Saccharomyces cerevisiae S288C: one gene and its partners. The gene in region 1 interacts genetically with each later gene. Each region holds a gene or a part of one and is shown on either strand. Other genes may lie near its edges.

The links.
Region 2: mutations in PRP18 (region 1) and YDR415C together harm fitness more than expected from each alone (negative genetic interaction), as found in Saccharomyces cerevisiae (2 studies listed by BioGRID).
Region 3: mutations in PRP18 (region 1) and CDC40 are lethal when combined (synthetic lethality), as found in Saccharomyces cerevisiae (5 studies listed by BioGRID, with this or other methods).
Region 4: mutations in PRP18 (region 1) and RPS24A together harm fitness more than expected from each alone (negative genetic interaction), as found in Saccharomyces cerevisiae (2 studies listed by BioGRID).

What each region holds. Positions count from the first base shown.
Region 1 is NC_001139.9:503,229-507,776, forward strand, and holds PRP18 (mRNA splicing protein PRP18), read left to right. Parts: upstream 1-2,841; coding exon 2,842-3,597; downstream 3,598-4,548. Other genes in the region: PEX31 (peroxisome biogenesis protein), read left to right, coding at 1-1,098; transcription factor IIF subunit TFG2, read right to left, coding at 1,429-2,631; ECT1 (ethanolamine-phosphate cytidylyltransferase), read left to right, coding at 3,741-4,548. UniProt on the Saccharomyces cerevisiae protein: Component of the U4/U5/U6 snRNP, binding principally to the u5 snRNP. It is not absolutely required for the second step of pre-mRNA splicing at low temperatures but is required at higher temperatures.
Region 2 is NC_001136.10:1,295,659-1,300,479, forward strand, and holds YDR415C (putative aminopeptidase), read right to left. Parts: upstream 2,504-4,821; coding exon 1,379-2,503; downstream 1-1,378. Other genes in the region: ERD1 (Erd1p), read right to left, coding at 1-1,028; mRNA splicing protein SYF1, read left to right, coding at 2,774-4,821.
Region 3 is NC_001136.10:1,201,576-1,206,554, forward strand, and holds CDC40 (Cdc40p), read right to left. Parts: upstream 2,636-4,979; coding exon 1,268-2,635; downstream 1-1,267. Other genes in the region: proteasome regulatory particle lid subunit SEM1, read left to right, coding at 553-822; pre-rRNA-processing protein ESF1, read right to left, coding at 2,922-4,808. UniProt on the Saccharomyces cerevisiae protein: May function in the second step of pre-mRNA splicing. Regulatory protein involved in replication and mitotic spindle formation and/or maintenance. Required for initiation and completion of S-phase and for initiation and completion of DNA replication.
Region 4 is NC_001137.3:303,374-307,696, forward strand, and holds RPS24A (40S ribosomal protein eS24 RPS24A), read left to right. Parts: upstream 1-2,949; coding exon 2,950-2,952; intron 2,953-3,418; coding exon 3,419-3,823; downstream 3,824-4,323. Other genes in the region: aldehyde dehydrogenase (NAD(P)(+)) ALD5, read left to right, coding at 657-2,219; YOS1 (Yos1p), read left to right, coding at 4,280-4,323. UniProt on the Saccharomyces cerevisiae protein: Component of the ribosome, a large ribonucleoprotein complex responsible for the synthesis of proteins in the cell.

The DNA of each region.
Region 1 (4,548 bases):
ATATTCTTATTTACGGTTTGTGTTCTATATTTTGGATTTATTACAAGGTATTTTGGACATTTAATGATCGTTGGTATAATATGGGTATATCTTTTAATTGACAAGCACGTTCAAGAAACAATGGCATCTTGCCCTTCATTGGATGATATAATACACGTTATGGATAGGGTTTCTATGAAATCTAGCGCTGTGTTATCTCCTATTACGATTTTGAGCGCTCAGGATGTTAGAAGACTGTTATTTACCATTGCCTTCCTATCCCCAGTTTATATTTTTCTAACAGTGTTTGTGCTATCTCCAAACTATTTAATGTTAATAGGGGGTCTGTATGTGCTTACGTACCATTCTAAACTAATCCGAAGAATGAGAAGATACTTGTGGAAATTTCGCGTTGTTAGATTACTTGTATTTTTCATAACAGGATTAGACCTTGGTGGACCAGATAATAATAGGCGCTTGTTTGCTTCTGTCAATAAGAAAATAAGGTCCTTTGTTTGGAATGAGGTAGGGAACACATCTAACACTAAAAAGACTGTACTTTTCAAGGTTGCTCTGTTTGAAAACCAGCGCCGCTGGCTTGGCATCGGATGGACATCAACTATGTTGAGTTATGAGCGCGCATCTTGGACAGATGAATTCCTAAATACTTCTCCAAGCCCAGAAGTGTTTACTTTACCAGAGGAGCAGTCGGGAATGGCTTGGGAATGGCACGATAAAGATTGGATGCTTGACCTAACAAATGATGGGATCATTCAACTTCCTGCTTCTGCTGCTAAGACAAAAGTTAAGCCAGGTGCAGATGAAGGTTTCATATATTATGATAACACCTGGAATAATCCCTCTGCAACGGACACATATAAAAAGTACACAAGAAGAAGGAGGTGGATCAGGACTGCAACAGTAACAACAACGTATGACGATGAGCCCACTGTAGAAAAAGCTACACCGAATTCTCATGCTCTGAAGAGTGAAGAAAATAATAGAGTTAGAAAAAGAAAAGTGTCATTTAGTACAGCAAATGAAGTGCATATCATACCTTCCTCGGACAGTAGCAAATTAATACAAATATCTGATGTTTCAATGTCTCCTTCTCTATAATGAGTGCATGCCCCATATGGACAACAACGTTCACACTGGTCGGTGCAAGGGCACACAGCAATCTCAGAGTTTCTTTCATTGGCTGCATGGAGCACAAATTCAATCTTGTGCTTTAAAGTATCTGCGCGGTTATGGCAAGTTCTCCATCAGTCTCTTATTCCAGCAAGCATTCTTTTACGGAACTTCAATGCATCTAAATACATATGTACAGATAGCCAAAACTAATAGAGACATAATAAATTAAACAAAACTGTAAATTTTAAAAAGAGTATATATAGGGCTCAAGAAACTGCGTAAATATAAAATTAATGAAGAAAATCTGATTGTCAACTAAACGACATCTTCCATTTCTATTTCATCTTCCAAGTCAGCCTCCGCGTCTCCTTGCGCATTGTCTCCAGCGGAACCTGTTTGCTCATCAGCTAGTTCACCTAAGGTTGCCTTTCTCTCCTCCTCTTTCAACTTTTTATACTCTGGCCTTAAAGTGTATTTGAATGCATATGGGCCCTTCTTCACTAGAGTGGCAACTTTATCCAAACACTCCTTTAAATGTGCTTCAGGTTGCCTAGTACGTTCCTTCAACCCCTTCAAGGACCAGTAGTCATACTCATCAAATAACTTGAACAAGTAATCCAAGATTTCCTTCTTTGGCATACGAATAGATTTAATATTGCTCTTGGCCTTCTCACGCCCCACTTTCAAGAAATTCGAGTTGTCTGACCTCATGGACATACCTGTGTGGCTCATCGTAACACCAACGGTTTCATCCAAAGTTGTGATCCTTTCCTTATTATTAAGCTTGACAATATTTCTTCTCTGTTCAACAATCTTGTGATAATTAGGATCATTCATTGATGGCATAACCTGACATTCGTGGCAAACTGTACCCACAATGGCGGTTTTTTTGGGAATCGTCTTCACATATGGTATATATCTATCTCTACCATCCCTATCTGTCATAACTCTGTGATTAAACTTTTTTCTATTATTTCTACGTTTTTGCTGCTGCTGCTTCTTCTTAAGTTCCTCTTCACGTTCTTGCTTCTTCAGGTAAGCTTGCCTTTGCTTTTCAGGATCTGCTTCCAACTCCTTTTTACGTTGTTGATATTTCTTTAAATTTTGTTCTGTGAAAACATATTCATTTTCTACTACTTTCTTTGTAAGTTCTAAATCATATTCGTGCGGTATAGAATCGTTATCATTTTCATTCAATAGAAGTGTGATTTTACTCCCATCCTTGTTTATCCTAATTTTACCCAGTTCTTGGCCATGCAAGTTGTTTCTGTCCCTCCATTTCTCTGCTAGAAACATGGGCAATCTAACTAACCAGACTTGTCTATTACTACGTTCCAAGTCCAAATCTAAGGATTCTTCATAAACTTTGGTTTCATTATTCTCAATATCATTACCGTCAAAAACTTCCTCCTCTTGCGAAAGATACTCATCACCGGAAATGTTACCTGATTTCTCCTTCGCGACAGAGTTCGTGGAATTATTAGAAAGTGCTGGTGCCCCTGCTGAACCACTGCTCATGGTGTTAAGTTGGTCTTCTATTTTACTCTTAATATTGCGTTATGCGTTGAAGCCAACAGCATATGTCTTATTCTTCTAATTTCAAGCCTGATAATTTATTCATTTCGCGCAAGGGAAGATGAAAAAGTTAAGAAGAGAATCGACCTTTGGAAAGGGCCCCAATGGAAAGAACTTCAATGTTTTTTCCTCTACAAGTAATAAGAGCATAAAATGGACCTAGATCTAGCCAGTATCTTAAAAGGTGAAATTTCTAAGAAGAAGAAAGAGCTGGCCAACTCTAAAGGTGTTCAGCCACCATGCACTGAGAAATTCCAGCCACATGAATCCGCAAACATAGACGAAACACCGCGACAGGTAGAACAAGAAAGTACAGATGAAGAAAACCTGTCAGACAATCAGAGTGACGATATTAGGACCACCATTAGCAAATTAGAAAATCGGCCAGAAAGGATACAAGAAGCGATAGCTCAAGACAAAACCATCTCTGTAATCATTGATCCATCACAAATTGGTTCTACTGAAGGAAAACCTCTTTTGTCAATGAAATGTAATTTATATATTCACGAAATATTATCTCGTTGGAAGGCGTCTTTGGAAGCTTATCATCCGGAGCTGTTCTTAGACACTAAAAAAGCACTCTTTCCACTCCTACTGCAACTACGAAGGAACCAGCTTGCCCCGGATTTACTTATTTCCCTTGCGACCGTTCTCTATCATTTACAACAACCTAAAGAAATAAATTTAGCCGTTCAGTCCTATATGAAACTCAGTATCGGCAATGTGGCCTGGCCTATTGGTGTTACTAGCGTAGGCATTCATGCTCGTAGTGCACATTCGAAAATTCAAGGAGGCCGGAATGCTGCTAACATAATGATTGATGAAAGAACGCGATTATGGATTACCAGTATTAAAAGATTAATAACTTTTGAAGAATGGTATACCAGCAACCACGATAGCTTAGCCTAATTGTTGAACTATTGTTTTCGTTATCGCGTGGCACGATATCATGCGGCCAAAATAAGAAGCAAGAATGCAGATGTTGATAGCCTTTGTTCAATTTTCCAGAGACAAATGCTTTACAGGATCGGGACTTGAAATATACTGACTGGATGACGGTAAACTTAGATCCGGATAAAGTTTGGATAGACGGCTGCTTTGATTTCACACATCATGGGCATGCGGGAGCCATTTTGCAGGCTCGTCGAACAGTTTCAAAAGAAAATGGTAAACTATTCTGTGGTGTGCATACCGATGAAGATATTCAGCATAACAAAGGAACACCAGTAATGAACTCTTCAGAAAGATATGAGCATACTAGATCAAATAGGTGGTGTTCGGAAGTGGTTGAAGCGGCGCCATATGTTACAGATCCCAATTGGATGGATAAATATCAGTGCCAATATGTTGTTCATGGTGATGATATCACCATAGATGCTAATGGAGAAGACTGCTATAAGTTGGTGAAAGAGATGGGGCGCTTCAAGGTAGTTAAAAGAACATATGGCGTAAGTACTACCGAGATTATACATAGAATATTGACGAAAAAATCTTTGCCACCGACTCATCCTGATTATTATCCCACCACCCAGGAATTGAGTTTCTATTCTGTCGCCCAAGATGCCGTTTCAAAACATTGTTATGTCTTTCAGAGGGATTTGGACAATGTCTTGGTCAATGGTGGATACAAATTCGATGCAGAAGATTGTGTTTATGTTGACGGGGATTTTGACTTATTCCATATGGGGGATATTGATCAGTTAAGAAAGCTGAAAATGGATCTTCACCCCGATAAGAAATTGATTGTTGGTATTACCACAAGCGATTACTCGAGTACCATTATGACGATGAAGGAACGCGTCTTGAGCGTTTTAAGTTGTAAATATGTTGATGCCGTTATTATCGATGCTGACGCCACCT
Region 2 (4,821 bases), on another chromosome or scaffold:
CTTCTAATTACTTCGAAATACTGCATTTCGCCTTGGAAAAAAATGTAGTCGCTATCTGCGGCAACTAATTTCAGATTCTGCGATAAATATACCCATAGCCACCAGAACCTCAGCAAAAAGTCAACGAGAATCGCCGAATGATACATTTTTTTCTTTAATGTGACGGCACTTTTGGATCTGGATCTTAAAGAGGTTAACGAGTCCAATGACCAATCCATCCTTACATCCCAAAATAACGTATAGGAAGAATTAATTAGCATAAACCATCTTTGAACGTGGTGTAGTCTTTCTTCGTTGATGGATCCCTCATACACTCTTGATCTCCAGGTGCAAAAAAGAATGGGAAGATTACAACTGTATTTCAATGCATTGAATAGTAAAGTTGCTTCGTGCAGTAAACGGTATTCTCTCAAACACTGCAGTAGTCTTACCAGTACAGGAAGAAGGGCTACGGATAGATCAAAATGTGTGAAGGGTTCTCTAAAAATTAGAGAGGTAAACAATGTGAAGTCTATCAATGGTTTTGCAAACGATGTCAACGTGTCAGAGATTAAAATGTAGGTATTCCTTAAGGAACGGGGGGAGGATTCTATCAACAAACATCTCCTAGTACAATATTTTATTATCTGGCACTCTTTCAACAGAAACCAAAATATAGTGACACATTGGATCAATGGTAGAAAATATACGATGAGAATGATATTTTTGAGTGGACCTTCTATAATATTCATGAACTCAAAAAGGAACACAGTGGCAAAGTGGAACGGTATAATAATCCTTGTTATCTTCAAAGCAAAATTTCTAGCTGTTCTATGCAATTGCTGTAGAGTATAACCTGGACGTATATCGTGCGGTACTCTCGTGAGTATGACTTGGGATACGTCTAAATTACTATGCAAGAAGAATTTTAATATCCATGTCCAGATCCAAAGGGCAAGTATTATGAGCACAATAAATCGCTGCGGAGGGGGAACATTTAATATATTTTGGAGATAAAGTCCTTCAGAATTACTTTCGCTTTTCTCCATATTTTGCGGCCCAACTTGTTGCAGAATTGAAAACTTTGTATAATACTAATAATAATTTATAATAATAACAATAATAATTTATAACAATAATAACAATGCCAAACAATTTATATGGGTAACCAGTTTTTGGTACTGTTTGCCATCAATATTGCGACTAAATCGGGAGCGGTTAGCGCTGGCTTGCACTTTTTGCAACTGACTCTATTTCTTTCATTGATTATGTTATTTTCAGATGACGAAATACGCCAAAAAAATTCGGGAAATAAATACTAGCGTGATATCGGTTTAGGTATATTACAAAAGAACACCAAGGTAAGGCATCATTAGTTATGTATGCATATTACTGACTTTTACCAAGCGGACCATGACCCGAGTTCAATGATTACCCCTAATACAATTTTTGTGTGTTCCGCCATATGAGCGAGACTTAATCTGTCCAAAGTATCCATGGTGCTGTGAATATACTTGTTAGTCTTTTTGAACTCACTTTCAATCACGAAGGAGCCTGGAAATCCGTTTCTGGTGGCACTCCCATGATCGCTACAAGCATAGCCACATTGTGTATCCCTGTAAGGAATGGATAGATAAGAGTTGATAATTAGTTTTATAAAATCAGTTAATGCGGGAGTAGTGTAGTCGGTGACAATCCCCACATGTTCATCTTCTGGATCAGAAACATATCCCGTCATGTCTTGCTGAAGCATCGCTCTCACATGCTTTTTCTGTTTGGCATAAGCTGTAAAAACATCAAGAGAACCCAACAATCCCCCCTCTTCGGCGGAATAAAAGTGAAATTCCACAGTGTTGTTAGGTCTAAATCCTCTCTTCAAAAAATTTTCCGTATATAATCTGAGAGCCTCCATATTAGTCACCGTGCCTGACCCATTGTCGTCCGCACCTGGAGCTGCCATTATGGATGGCAGTAGCAGATTGATAGAATCTTGATGAGAACCAATTATTATAATATCTTCTGGCGTAGTAGATCCCGTGACACGGACTATAATTGAATATTGCTTCCATTCTTTGTGATCAAAATGTTCAATAGTCAACGTATCTTGCGGAATATCTTTTGTAATATTAGCGATAGTTGCAGCTAACCACTCGGCAGATTCAAAGCCGTGATCGGACTTGTAGTAACGGGTGTAAAAACTTGTAAACTTTGCCAAGTTCTTGTGCATAGAGCCCTTGTCTATATTCTTAATCGAATCATCCACTACTTCTTTGTTCGATATCTCAGGAGGATAGTTATACGTTGGTACTGTTGGCTCTTCCTCCTTGTTAAAGAAAGGTAAGAAAGAAGTGTGTTTGGTCACATCAAAGAATTTGACACCTCTTCTTCGTAAGTTTAGCTTTTCTGATTCGGGAACCTCCATTACCTCATTCTCTCCTACTTGTAAAACCCTTAAAGGCTCATATGGATATGACCATGCGATGATGGCAACATTAAATAAAACAAAAAGCGACTGTATCCTCATATTGTGCTAATCAGCGGTTGATTATGTTACTTACTTTTTCGAATAAAGATTTTGTATTTCTTTAGCTTCGAAGATTGATAATTATTGAATATCAAGTTTCAGTTTACTATAGCGGTCCGAACATATGAAAGATTTTAGTAAAGACGCTGGCAAGCTTTTCAGTCAAAATAATACAAAAGGAAATAGATAGAAAAAAAGGAAATAATCAGGCCTCCATATTGGACTCAACTATCCTTCAGTACCGCAAAACTTATTGTGTCCATATATCCTATGTCAGCATACATCGCAATGAAAGGAGTAATAACAAACGTCGATGAGAACATAAGAAATGATGAAGATGTGGCTTTTGAGTACGAAATACAAAAGACACCGCAGAACATACTTACATGGAAAAGATATATCGAGTATTGGAAAGAGGAGGGAAGAACTGACAAACAGATTAGGTGGCTATATGAAAGATTTTGTTCACAATTTGTAACAGATACAAGTATATGGGAAGATTATATACGCTGGGAATCAACAAAGGAAGTAGTCGAAACTTCACGTATTTTCTGGCTTTTTCAAAGGTGCCTGAAAAGCTGTGTACGAGATTGTGACAGGATATGTTTGTCTTATTTAGAATTGGCAATTGAACAATATGACTTGGCAATGATAAGGCATGCCTTAGCTTCATCTTTAATGAAAATGGAGAGAGAAATGCATCGGAAAGTTTGGGATCCTGTCATAAAATTTGTGGAAGAAAAAGTTTTACCATTAACGCAACTGGATTCAACTCAAGAAGATGAAGAAGAAAGTACTGATGAAGCTGAATTGATAAATGTACTTTTAGTGAAGGGTTTCACGAAGGGAGGTTTTATTAGCGAGGAAATTAGTGAAAACGGAAGTAGAGGTGATATTTGGTCGTCACATATTTTAGAAAGATACTTAAAAGTGGCTCCTCAGCAAAAACGAAATGAATCGCTGGCAACTCTTGCATTAACTAGAGACAATATTACCATCAAATCAGTATATGAAAAGTATTTGCCACAAGATGAAAATAGTGGGAAGTATCTACCTAGTTCAGAACTGCCTTTTGAATTAAATTTCAATTATTTGGCCAGCCTAGAAAAACTAGGTTTAGATAATCAATATGAGGAGTTCATGAGGCAAATGAATGGCATATATCCCGACAAATGGCTTTTTTTGATCCTATCACTTGCCAAATATTATATCTCTCGCGGGAGGCTTGACAGTTGTGGTGATTTATTGAAGAAAAGTTTACAGCAAACACTTAGGTACAGTGATTTTGATCGCATCTATAATTTCTATTTGCTATTTGAGCAAGAGTGCTCCCAATTTATTCTGGGAAAGCTAAAGGAAAATGACAGCAAATTCTTTAATCAAAAAGATTGGACTGAAAAGTTACAAGCTCATATGGCGACATTTGAATCTTTAATCAACTTATATGATATCTATTTGAACGATGTCGCACTAAGGCAAGATTCCAACTTGGTGGAAACGTGGATGAAAAGAGTGTCCTTGCAGAAGTCAGCAGCGGAAAAGTGTAATGTGTATTCAGAAGCTATACTGAAAATTGATCCCCGAAAAGTTGGTACGCCTGGCTCTTTCGGTAGGCTTTGGTGTTCGTATGGGGATTTGTATTGGAGATCAAACGCAATTAGTACAGCTAGAGAATTGTGGACACAATCTCTGAAGGTACCGTATCCTTATATAGAAGATCTGGAAGAAATTTACCTAAACTGGGCTGATAGAGAATTAGATAAAGAAGGGGTGGAAAGAGCTTTTTCTATCCTTGAAGATGCATTACATGTGCCAACAAATCCAGAAATTCTCCTCGAAAAATATAAGAATGGACACAGAAAAATACCTGCTCAAACTGTTCTATTCAACTCATTACGTATTTGGTCCAAATACATTGATTATCTAGAGGCTTACTGCCCAAAGGATGCAAATTCCTCCGATAAAATATTCAATAAGACAAAAATGGCATACAATACTGTTATTGATTTGAGATTGATCACTCCAGCAATGGCAGAAAATTTTGCATTGTTCTTACAAAATCATTACGAAGTCATGGAAAGTTTTCAGGTGTATGAGAAAACAATCCCTCTGTTTCCCCCCGAAATCCAATACGAATTATGGATTGAGTATCTAGAAGTAGCGACATCACATCAATTGTCATCACTGAGTCCTGAACATATTAGATTTTTGTTTGAGAAAGCACTTAAGAATCTATGTTCAAATGGTATAGACTGTAAAACAATTTTTATCGCTTATAGCGTATTTGAAGAAAGGATAAGTGGTCTGATTAGCAAGAG
Region 3 (4,979 bases), on another chromosome or scaffold:
GTTGAAAAGCAAGAATTGATAACCAAATATTGTTTTCCAACAATGCAATCCCAACCCTATCTCAATATTCATAGAATTCACTTATTTCTCAGTTTAATACATGATGATGCATCTTGATATTGAGAAATTATATGTATTATCCCTTTTTAACCTTTAAAAGGTCACAAATAAATAGCCTTGTTGGCGCAATCGGTAGCGCGTATGACTCTTAATCATAAGGTTAGGGGTTCGAGCCCCCTACAGGGCTAATAACACATTCAAAATGTTATAAATTTTTTTTCGGGTTTGTGTTTAAAACTAACCTTCTAAAGAAAACAATAAAAATTATATCAACATTTCCTCATGTCTTTGTAACCTACTAGTAGGGATTTTGAAGGGCTGAAAGCTTCTTAGTTCTGTCGGATCCATTATATTATCATTATTTACGAAACTAGTGCTATGGGTGGCGAACGTGGTGGGCGTTACCTTTTAAAGTCCTAATGGAAACCTACCTATGCATAAAGTGAATAGAGTGGCAATAAAAGTCGAATAATAGTACAAATACGCAAAAATATGAGTACGGACGTTGCTGCTGCACAAGCCCAAAGTAAAATAGATTTAACAAAAAAAAAAAATGAGGAAATAAATAAGAAGTCTCTAGAGGAAGACGATGAATTTGAAGATTTCCCCATTGACACATGGGCCAATGGTGAAACAATAAAAAGCAATGCTGTAACGCAAACAAACATATGGGAAGAAAACTGGGATGATGTTGAAGTTGACGACGATTTCACCAATGAATTGAAGGCCGAATTGGATAGATACAAACGGGAAAATCAGTGAGGGGCTACATAACATTATTTCTAAATAACGCAAAAGGAAATTATACGTCTAATGTTACTTTAGTACATTGTTGTCATACTAGTATATTTTGCTTAGATGATAAAATAAATAATAAAAAGAGATACGAAAGGCTATGCGGTAGTCGATTATATGGCCTTGTAGTATAATAATGATGCACGCAAAGTATTAAATAACTCAGCTGAGATTTCTCATTTCTTTAAATGCAGTCTCAGTTTAAAAAATTAACTATATTAAGATCCGCTCTTTCTACCATATGATGCAAATGTGTCCTCGAACTAGTACTTGCAATTTCAGGTAACCCCAATCGTTTCTTTATTATTGTCATTTTTACTATCATAATAATATCATCCGTAATAACAATTAAGTAACAAATCACATCCATGTAACCATTTAATTTGTTTCAAGTAACATTCCGAGTGAATAGCTAGTCACATACATATATCTTACCTGCCGCTCCGCTGCAAATGACTTTACTTGTTTCTTGAGGATGCCAGTCCACTTGAGTTATAGGCTTGTTGCCTGGAATCTTGATGTTATTTAATAAGCGCGACGTATTCCAATCCCAAGTAAATAGTCTGCTTTTTGAATCGCCTGAACATATGTAACGACCATCACCAGAAAAAGCCAAGCTTATCCCATAACCAGCAGATGAATGCCCTTTAAATATCTTTTTTGGATGCCTCTTATATTTGGGTTTCAAACTGAAAGAATATATTCTATTATCCATGCTTTGTGCACAGAAATAGTTCTGAGACGGATGTACATTTAAAAATGGCATAGAATGTTGAGCCGTGTCACTTATTTGTTTTATTGGTACATTGATCTGATTTTCCCAAATTCTTACCGTCTTATCCTCTGAAGAAGAAATAAACTTCGAACCATCGGGAAAATACTTGAGAGCCAGAATGCTACTTAGGTGATGATCATATGTCTGCACAAGACCTTGATTTTCTGAAACACGATCATCATAATGTAATATTTTCGAATTCGATAAACCTACAATGAACTCATGTGGGTTAGTGGGCCGAGATTCAACATCTGCAGGCGTTGAATTAAGGTGCAACCTGGTTTTCACTTTACCAGTTTCAGTATCCCAAATTTTAACGCTTCTATCAAAGGAAGAGCTCAAAAAAGATTGACAGTCTTCGGTGAATCGTAATGCTTTAATAGGCTTGTTATGACCTTGAAAATCTCGTAGGCATTCATAGTCATGGTAGAAATCCCAAATTTTTATAGTATGATCATTACCACCAGAGAGAATTAAGTGTCCAGTTTTAGGTAAGAATTTCAGGGCAGTGGTTCCTTCTGGATGCCCCGGATAATTACGTATAACTTTTTTTGGTAAGTAACACCGAAAGGATATCCTTTCCTCACGAAGATCAACATCGACGTCATTTGGTGGATATAAATATCCTCTGCCTTGATAGTCCTTTTCTGATTTACCATAAAAATGGGAGACTTCCTCTACCTCTATCTGTTCCGAATCTAGGTTGTCCTCAGCCAGCGCGTGCACGAAGATATCCTGATCTTCTTTCTGAGTTTCGCTGGCTTGTGAAGTTTCATCGTCACTACTTGACCAACTGCCCCACGGCCCATCTCCTTTGCGAGTTTTCCGTCTTCTTTTTAGTTCTGACTTTGTAAAATGTGATTTTCTCTTATGAATATTATTTGAAGAAGGTTCATACGAAGTATCTTCATGCAAATTACCATTTTTCTTTTCATGAACAGATTTGCCTTCGTCGAAGTTCAAATCAGAGTCTGAGCTTGTGTCATAACCGTCTACTAAACCCATTTCATCTGCTCTTCAAAGTACATGCCGTGTTTGTTGCACTATTTGGCCAAAAATAAAGGAAAAATTTCAAGATTTTTTTTTTACCTCATCTCTAGCAAGGACACAGTACTCCCTCGTAAATAAGACAAAATACAAAAAAGAAAATTCAAAGAAATGGTATTACAAGAACCGGTCAGAGAAACATTACGATAATTGATATCAACTACAAATCCAATGATGCATTCTTTATAATTGTACATATCTATTTGTATTCAAGTTTCATTTAAATACTATTTCATTGACTGCTTTAAACCTTTACCTTCTTGGATGATTTGCTTTTCTTTTTCAACTTGTTTACCAAGTTACCAATATCTTCATTATCATCTGCGTTATTGGTCATATTGTTTTCACTACCGCCAAGTTTTCTTTTCTTATTCTTAACACGTTTACTACGTTCTTTTAGGATTTTACTCATAGCTTGTGTACCTTTGAATTCAGGCTGGGTCGGGTCGATAGCAAAATCGTGATCTTCGAAGACTTCTTTAAATCTAGGATCTTCTAAATCAGGTGTAAAGGTGTCTTCAACAATTCTCTCTTTCTTTTGATACCGGCCTTTCTTGTGTTTTTCTTTTTCTGATCTTAAGATTTCGTTCATGTTGAAATGTGCTTTGTTATTTATTGTGCCCTGAGTTTCGGTATCATCATCATCATCCATTAAAAGCTCCAATTCAGCCTTTGATTTGGCATTCTTTTCGATCTCCTCTTCATCGTTAGTATGCTTTTTATTAACAGATTTCAACTTGCTTTTCTTATCCTTCTCCGACTGCTGTTTCAATTCCTTTACTTTCTGCTTTCTTGCTTTACGACGTTCCTTCTCTTTTCTTCTTATTTTCTCTATAGTCGTTTCTTCTTTGTCTTCCGACGATTTCTCGTTTCCTCCTTCCAAGGCTGGAGTAAATGTAATTTCCATATCAACTTCTTCATCTTCATCGTTAGGGGTTTCTTTCTTGGAATTAAACCCAAAGTCACCAACCAACGACTTTAGTTTATTTTTCGCCTCTTCATCGACCTGCCCATCCGATTCATCACTATCTGACGCCAAGTAAGCCTTAAAGTCCATATCATCAATTTCCTTTTGGGTAAAGGCCCTCTTAGCAACTTCGACCCTATCAGCTGGCGTTTCATCCCAGGTCAATTTGACGCTTGAATGTTGTAGAGCATCTGTGCTAAACTGGTGTGGCCTATAGTTCTTAGGCAATATACTGCATTCATCTCTTACATCATCATCAAAAGTCATACCATCAGGAACATACCTTAAATCGAACATATTAGCGGTTGACTCATATTCGGTACCATCACAGTTATCATAGATAGCTTTGGAGGTGGTTGTATCACTACAATAAACTATTGCGTAATAATATCTTAATCTGTCCAACTGGTATTGACGTAAAGCTCTGGAATCCACGTCCTTGTCAGCATCTCCCTCTTCATAAAGATCCTTAATACCGATGTCCATATCAGAATCAGAGTCATCAGTTTTCTTCTTTTTGGAGGTTTTGTTCTTATTTTTCTTTTGGAAAAGTTCCTTTGGAGGTCCTTCAACTTCCTCGCGTTGCATTCTTTCTTTACCAAATTCACTTGGATAAATAGCAACTCTTTCAATTTTACCACCTTTAGGAACGAAACTGGAAAAGGTAATCATCAAATCCTCAGATTTAACATGGTCCCAATCTAAATTTACGACGGCCAAATTCTTAGAGATGTCACCAGATTCTGGTTTGGCATTTTCAATTTCTACTTCATTTTCTTCTTCGCTTTCAACTTCACTTTCTCCGGACGATTCAGAATCAGAAGAAGTGAATTCATCAGAAGAGCTAACATAATCATCAGGAACTTCACCACGGGCACGGTCCACTACTGTTTTCGCATTAACTTCTGAATCTTCATCATTTTCTGCTTCCTTTTCGAAATATTTGTCGAAATCTTCCAATTCCCTGTTATTCTGCGCATTTTTGATCTTTCTACCATACTTGTCAACCTTAGATTTATGCTGGACCTCCAGATCCTTCTTACTGAACCTAGAATCTAACTTGATCTTATGATCTTTGGTTTTCGTGTTCTTAAATTTAGGATCGCTGTAGATCCCGGCAAACCTAGCATCTACACCTTCCTTCTTTGGGTTCTCTCCAGCCATCTTCAATTTTTCTTGCAACCTTATACGATCCGCTGAAATGTCTTGAAAAATATTCCGGACCCACAGTTATGTGATATTTATTATTTGTACCATTATGCTAATGATGAATTTGAGATGAGATGAGATGAAATTTTTTCTGTAACTGAAAAATTTCGGAACGTCAATAATGAT
Region 4 (4,323 bases), on another chromosome or scaffold:
ATCAAGTTGAAAATCAGCCCCTTTCACTAGATATCAAGCGCTATAAAAAAATTTTAATTTCGATGAGGCATCTTTCTTTTCTCTTGTGGCTATGTAAGCCTAAGAAGCCGTTTACACATCAATGATAAATAAGTATACAAAAAGGGTTCCATTTTTTTTTTTGGCCGCTACCGGACTAGCAAGGGCCTAATGGTACGCTGAGCGTAGTACAACCAAGCGCTTGTTAGCCGTAGAGTTAAGCTCTTGACTACTATTACGGTAAAAGCCGGGAACGTGCGTAACAATTTTTTTTTGCATTAGGTTAAAGAGGCTCGCTCGCGGAGCCTTTAGAATACCGCTTAAGGCGCCAAAAGATGGAAGCTATTCTCTTTCTTTTTTTTTTCACAAACTGAGAGGGGTTGTGTATCGTTAAAAATGTTGGAAGACTTCTGACTCATCACTACGCAGATTGTTAGAGTTTTTCGATGAGAATGGCTTCAAAGAACAGAACAAAACACGATTATATAAGCCCCATGTAAAAAGAACGTCTTAATTTATTTTGAATTTAGGACTTCTTGACATTTTTAGCATATATAACAATACGATAAGTGTCTCATCAAACGTGGTTAAGACAGAAAACTTCTTCACAACATTAACAAAAAGCCAAAGAAGAAGAAATGCTTTCTCGCACAAGAGCTGCAGCTCCGAATTCCAGAATATTCACTAGAAGCTTGTTACGTCTTTATTCTCAAGCACCATTACGCGTTCCAATTACTCTTCCAAATGGTTTCACCTACGAACAGCCAACAGGGTTATTCATCAATGGTGAATTTGTTGCCTCGAAGCAAAAGAAAACGTTTGACGTGATCAATCCATCTAACGAAGAAAAGATAACAACTGTATACAAGGCTATGGAAGATGATGTTGATGAAGCCGTTGCAGCGGCTAAAAAAGCTTTTGAAACGAAGTGGTCTATTGTAGAGCCGGAGGTTCGCGCTAAAGCTTTATTCAATCTCGCTGACTTGGTTGAGAAACACCAAGAAACACTGGCTGCCATTGAGTCAATGGATAATGGTAAGTCATTGTTTTGTGCGCGCGGTGACGTCGCTTTAGTATCTAAATACTTGCGTTCTTGCGGTGGTTGGGCAGATAAAATCTACGGTAACGTTATTGACACAGGTAAAAACCATTTTACCTACTCAATTAAGGAACCATTAGGCGTTTGCGGCCAAATAATCCCTTGGAACTTCCCTTTATTGATGTGGTCATGGAAAATTGGGCCTGCTCTGGCTACAGGTAACACCGTCGTATTGAAACCCGCTGAAACAACACCTTTATCTGCCCTTTTCGCTTCCCAGTTGTGTCAGGAAGCAGGCATACCCGCTGGTGTAGTCAATATCCTTCCGGGTTCCGGTAGAGTTGTTGGAGAAAGATTGAGTGCACACCCAGACGTGAAGAAGATTGCTTTTACAGGCTCTACTGCCACCGGCCGCCATATTATGAAGGTCGCTGCCGATACTGTCAAGAAAGTCACTTTGGAGCTGGGAGGTAAATCACCAAATATTGTGTTTGCTGACGCTGATCTAGATAAAGCCGTCAAGAACATTGCCTTCGGTATTTTTTACAACTCTGGTGAAGTTTGCTGCGCTGGTTCCAGAATATACATTCAAGATACAGTATACGAGGAGGTGTTGCAAAAACTAAAGGATTACACCGAGTCACTAAAGGTCGGTGACCCATTTGATGAGGAAGTTTTCCAAGGTGCTCAAACATCTGACAAACAGCTGCATAAAATTTTAGACTATGTCGATGTAGCAAAATCAGAGGGGGCTCGTCTTGTGACTGGAGGGGCCAGACATGGCAGTAAAGGTTATTTTGTCAAGCCAACAGTGTTTGCTGATGTCAAAGAAGATATGAGAATTGTTAAGGAGGAAGTGTTTGGTCCCATTGTAACTGTATCCAAGTTTTCTACTGTTGATGAAGTGATTGCTATGGCAAATGATTCTCAATATGGGTTAGCCGCAGGTATTCACACTAACGATATTAACAAGGCTGTTGATGTGTCCAAAAGAGTGAAAGCTGGTACTGTTTGGATAAATACCTATAACAACTTCCACCAAAATGTTCCTTTCGGTGGCTTCGGCCAGTCAGGTATTGGCCGTGAAATGGGTGAGGCTGCTTTAAGTAACTACACTCAAACAAAATCTGTCAGAATTGCCATTGACAAGCCAATTCGTTGAAGTAACTCAGGCCCGAGTTGACTGCTCATTGAAGGTATGTATGATAAACATTATAGAATAATGAAAAATGCCTCGTGACATACAGATAAAATCTAACAAGGATATATTCAAAAAAAAAAAAACAAAACAAAAAAATAATAACGTGATAAACATTAATGAACAATGTATTTACATTCTTAAGCATAGGTGAGAAATTACCTTCTTTACTTTTTTTTTTTTTTTTGGTGATATTGTATATTGAAATATATAGTAATCAAATTCGTTTCATTGATCAAATTGCTCACTAGTTCTGTTTTTCAAAATTTCATCTTTATAGGTAGATACAAGTGCCAGAGAGATATATAAACAGAAAACTCTATCGATGTGATAATGTATGCCAATATCGGGACTGTACACCCACACATTTACAAGCCCACACATCCTACAACTTTCTTTTCATTTCTTGCGCTTCTTCCACTGTCATAAAATATGATTGTCCGATGCCGCAGCCTACGCCTCGGCGAGTATTCATCACCTAAGCGTCCTGTAGGCGGGGCCACGCAGTCACTAACGGAATACTCCAGAAGGCTGCTTCCTTTGGAAGGAAGTTTCACTCGGTTGTCCACCCAGCGCTTTAACTTTGTCTCAGCGAAGAAGAATTGAATAACTATAGTGAATTTCAAGAGCTAGAGGATGGTTAGGTATTAGTTCAAAACAAAGATTTCAAGAAACCAACATAGATTAAGCAGAAATGGTATGTTAAAAAGTGCTCAGATGAAAGATGACGTCCCATATTCCATGTTAAAGTTGCCATGAGTTAGTATAAAAGGCAATAAAGGTACCATAACGAGAAAAGAAAGTAAAAGAAGAAATGTTTTGCAAATTTAAGGTGGCGTAACAGCAACTATTGGCTAATATATTAATGGCAATCATTGTGAAAAGAAATGTGAAATCCGTATCGTAATTGGTTAAATTTATAACTCAAATTTAAACACTCGAATAGCTGACCCGTAATATTTTATCCCGCTTTAAGAGTTCAACGCTAAAAAATGATATCTAGCTAACCATTATGCTACAGGAACCTTTTTTGGACTATTATCCCTATCATGAAAACTGGAAGGATCTTTCAAGGACGCCATTTCCAAAGATTTCCCCCACACTGGAACCTATTTTACTAACAATTTTTAAAATGGTTTTTTACCTAAATTGTTTTTTCTCAGTCTGACGCTGTTACTATCCGTACTAGAAAGGTTATCTCCAACCCATTGTTGGCCAGAAAGCAATTCGTCGTCGACGTCTTGCACCCAAACAGAGCTAATGTCTCCAAGGATGAATTGCGTGAAAAATTAGCTGAAGTCTACAAGGCTGAAAAGGACGCTGTCTCCGTTTTCGGTTTCAGAACCCAATTTGGTGGTGGTAAGTCTGTTGGTTTCGGTTTGGTCTACAACTCTGTTGCCGAAGCTAAGAAGTTCGAACCAACTTACAGATTAGTCAGATACGGTTTGGCTGAAAAGGTTGAAAAGGCTTCCAGACAACAAAGAAAGCAAAAGAAGAACAGAGACAAGAAGATCTTCGGTACTGGTAAGAGATTGGCTAAGAAGGTTGCTCGTCGTAACGCCGATTAAGCAAACTAACTTCAAAACGTTAAATCATTTTTACGGATTGTTTAGTTTTCTATATATAAATATGTGTATCTTTTTCCAATAAAAAATATAATCAATAATTTTAAGAGATCCGTGGATTCATTTCGTAATAGAAAATCTCGGAAAAATGGTACAGAATATTGTTGGCTAAGTGCTTCAGATTGCATCATCAGAAAAGTAAAAATACCCCCGTAATCCATCTTCTCTACATTTAATCTCATAGTGCTCGTAATGTCTCGAAATTTGTCTTTCGTGATCATTGCACAGTCTTTTCATTTGTCACAGTCACGTGATTACATTTAAGTACAGTATATCCAAAAAATTAGCTGGACTGGGAGCCTTCTCAATAAGTTGGCGGTTTATATACTCAAACCTATTAATAGGAAAGAACTCACAAAAGAAGCCTTTTGGAAGAGAAAACTTTGATATAGAGGGGATATGGTACTGTTTGGACTAGGTAGACTATTTTACGTCATTTTATT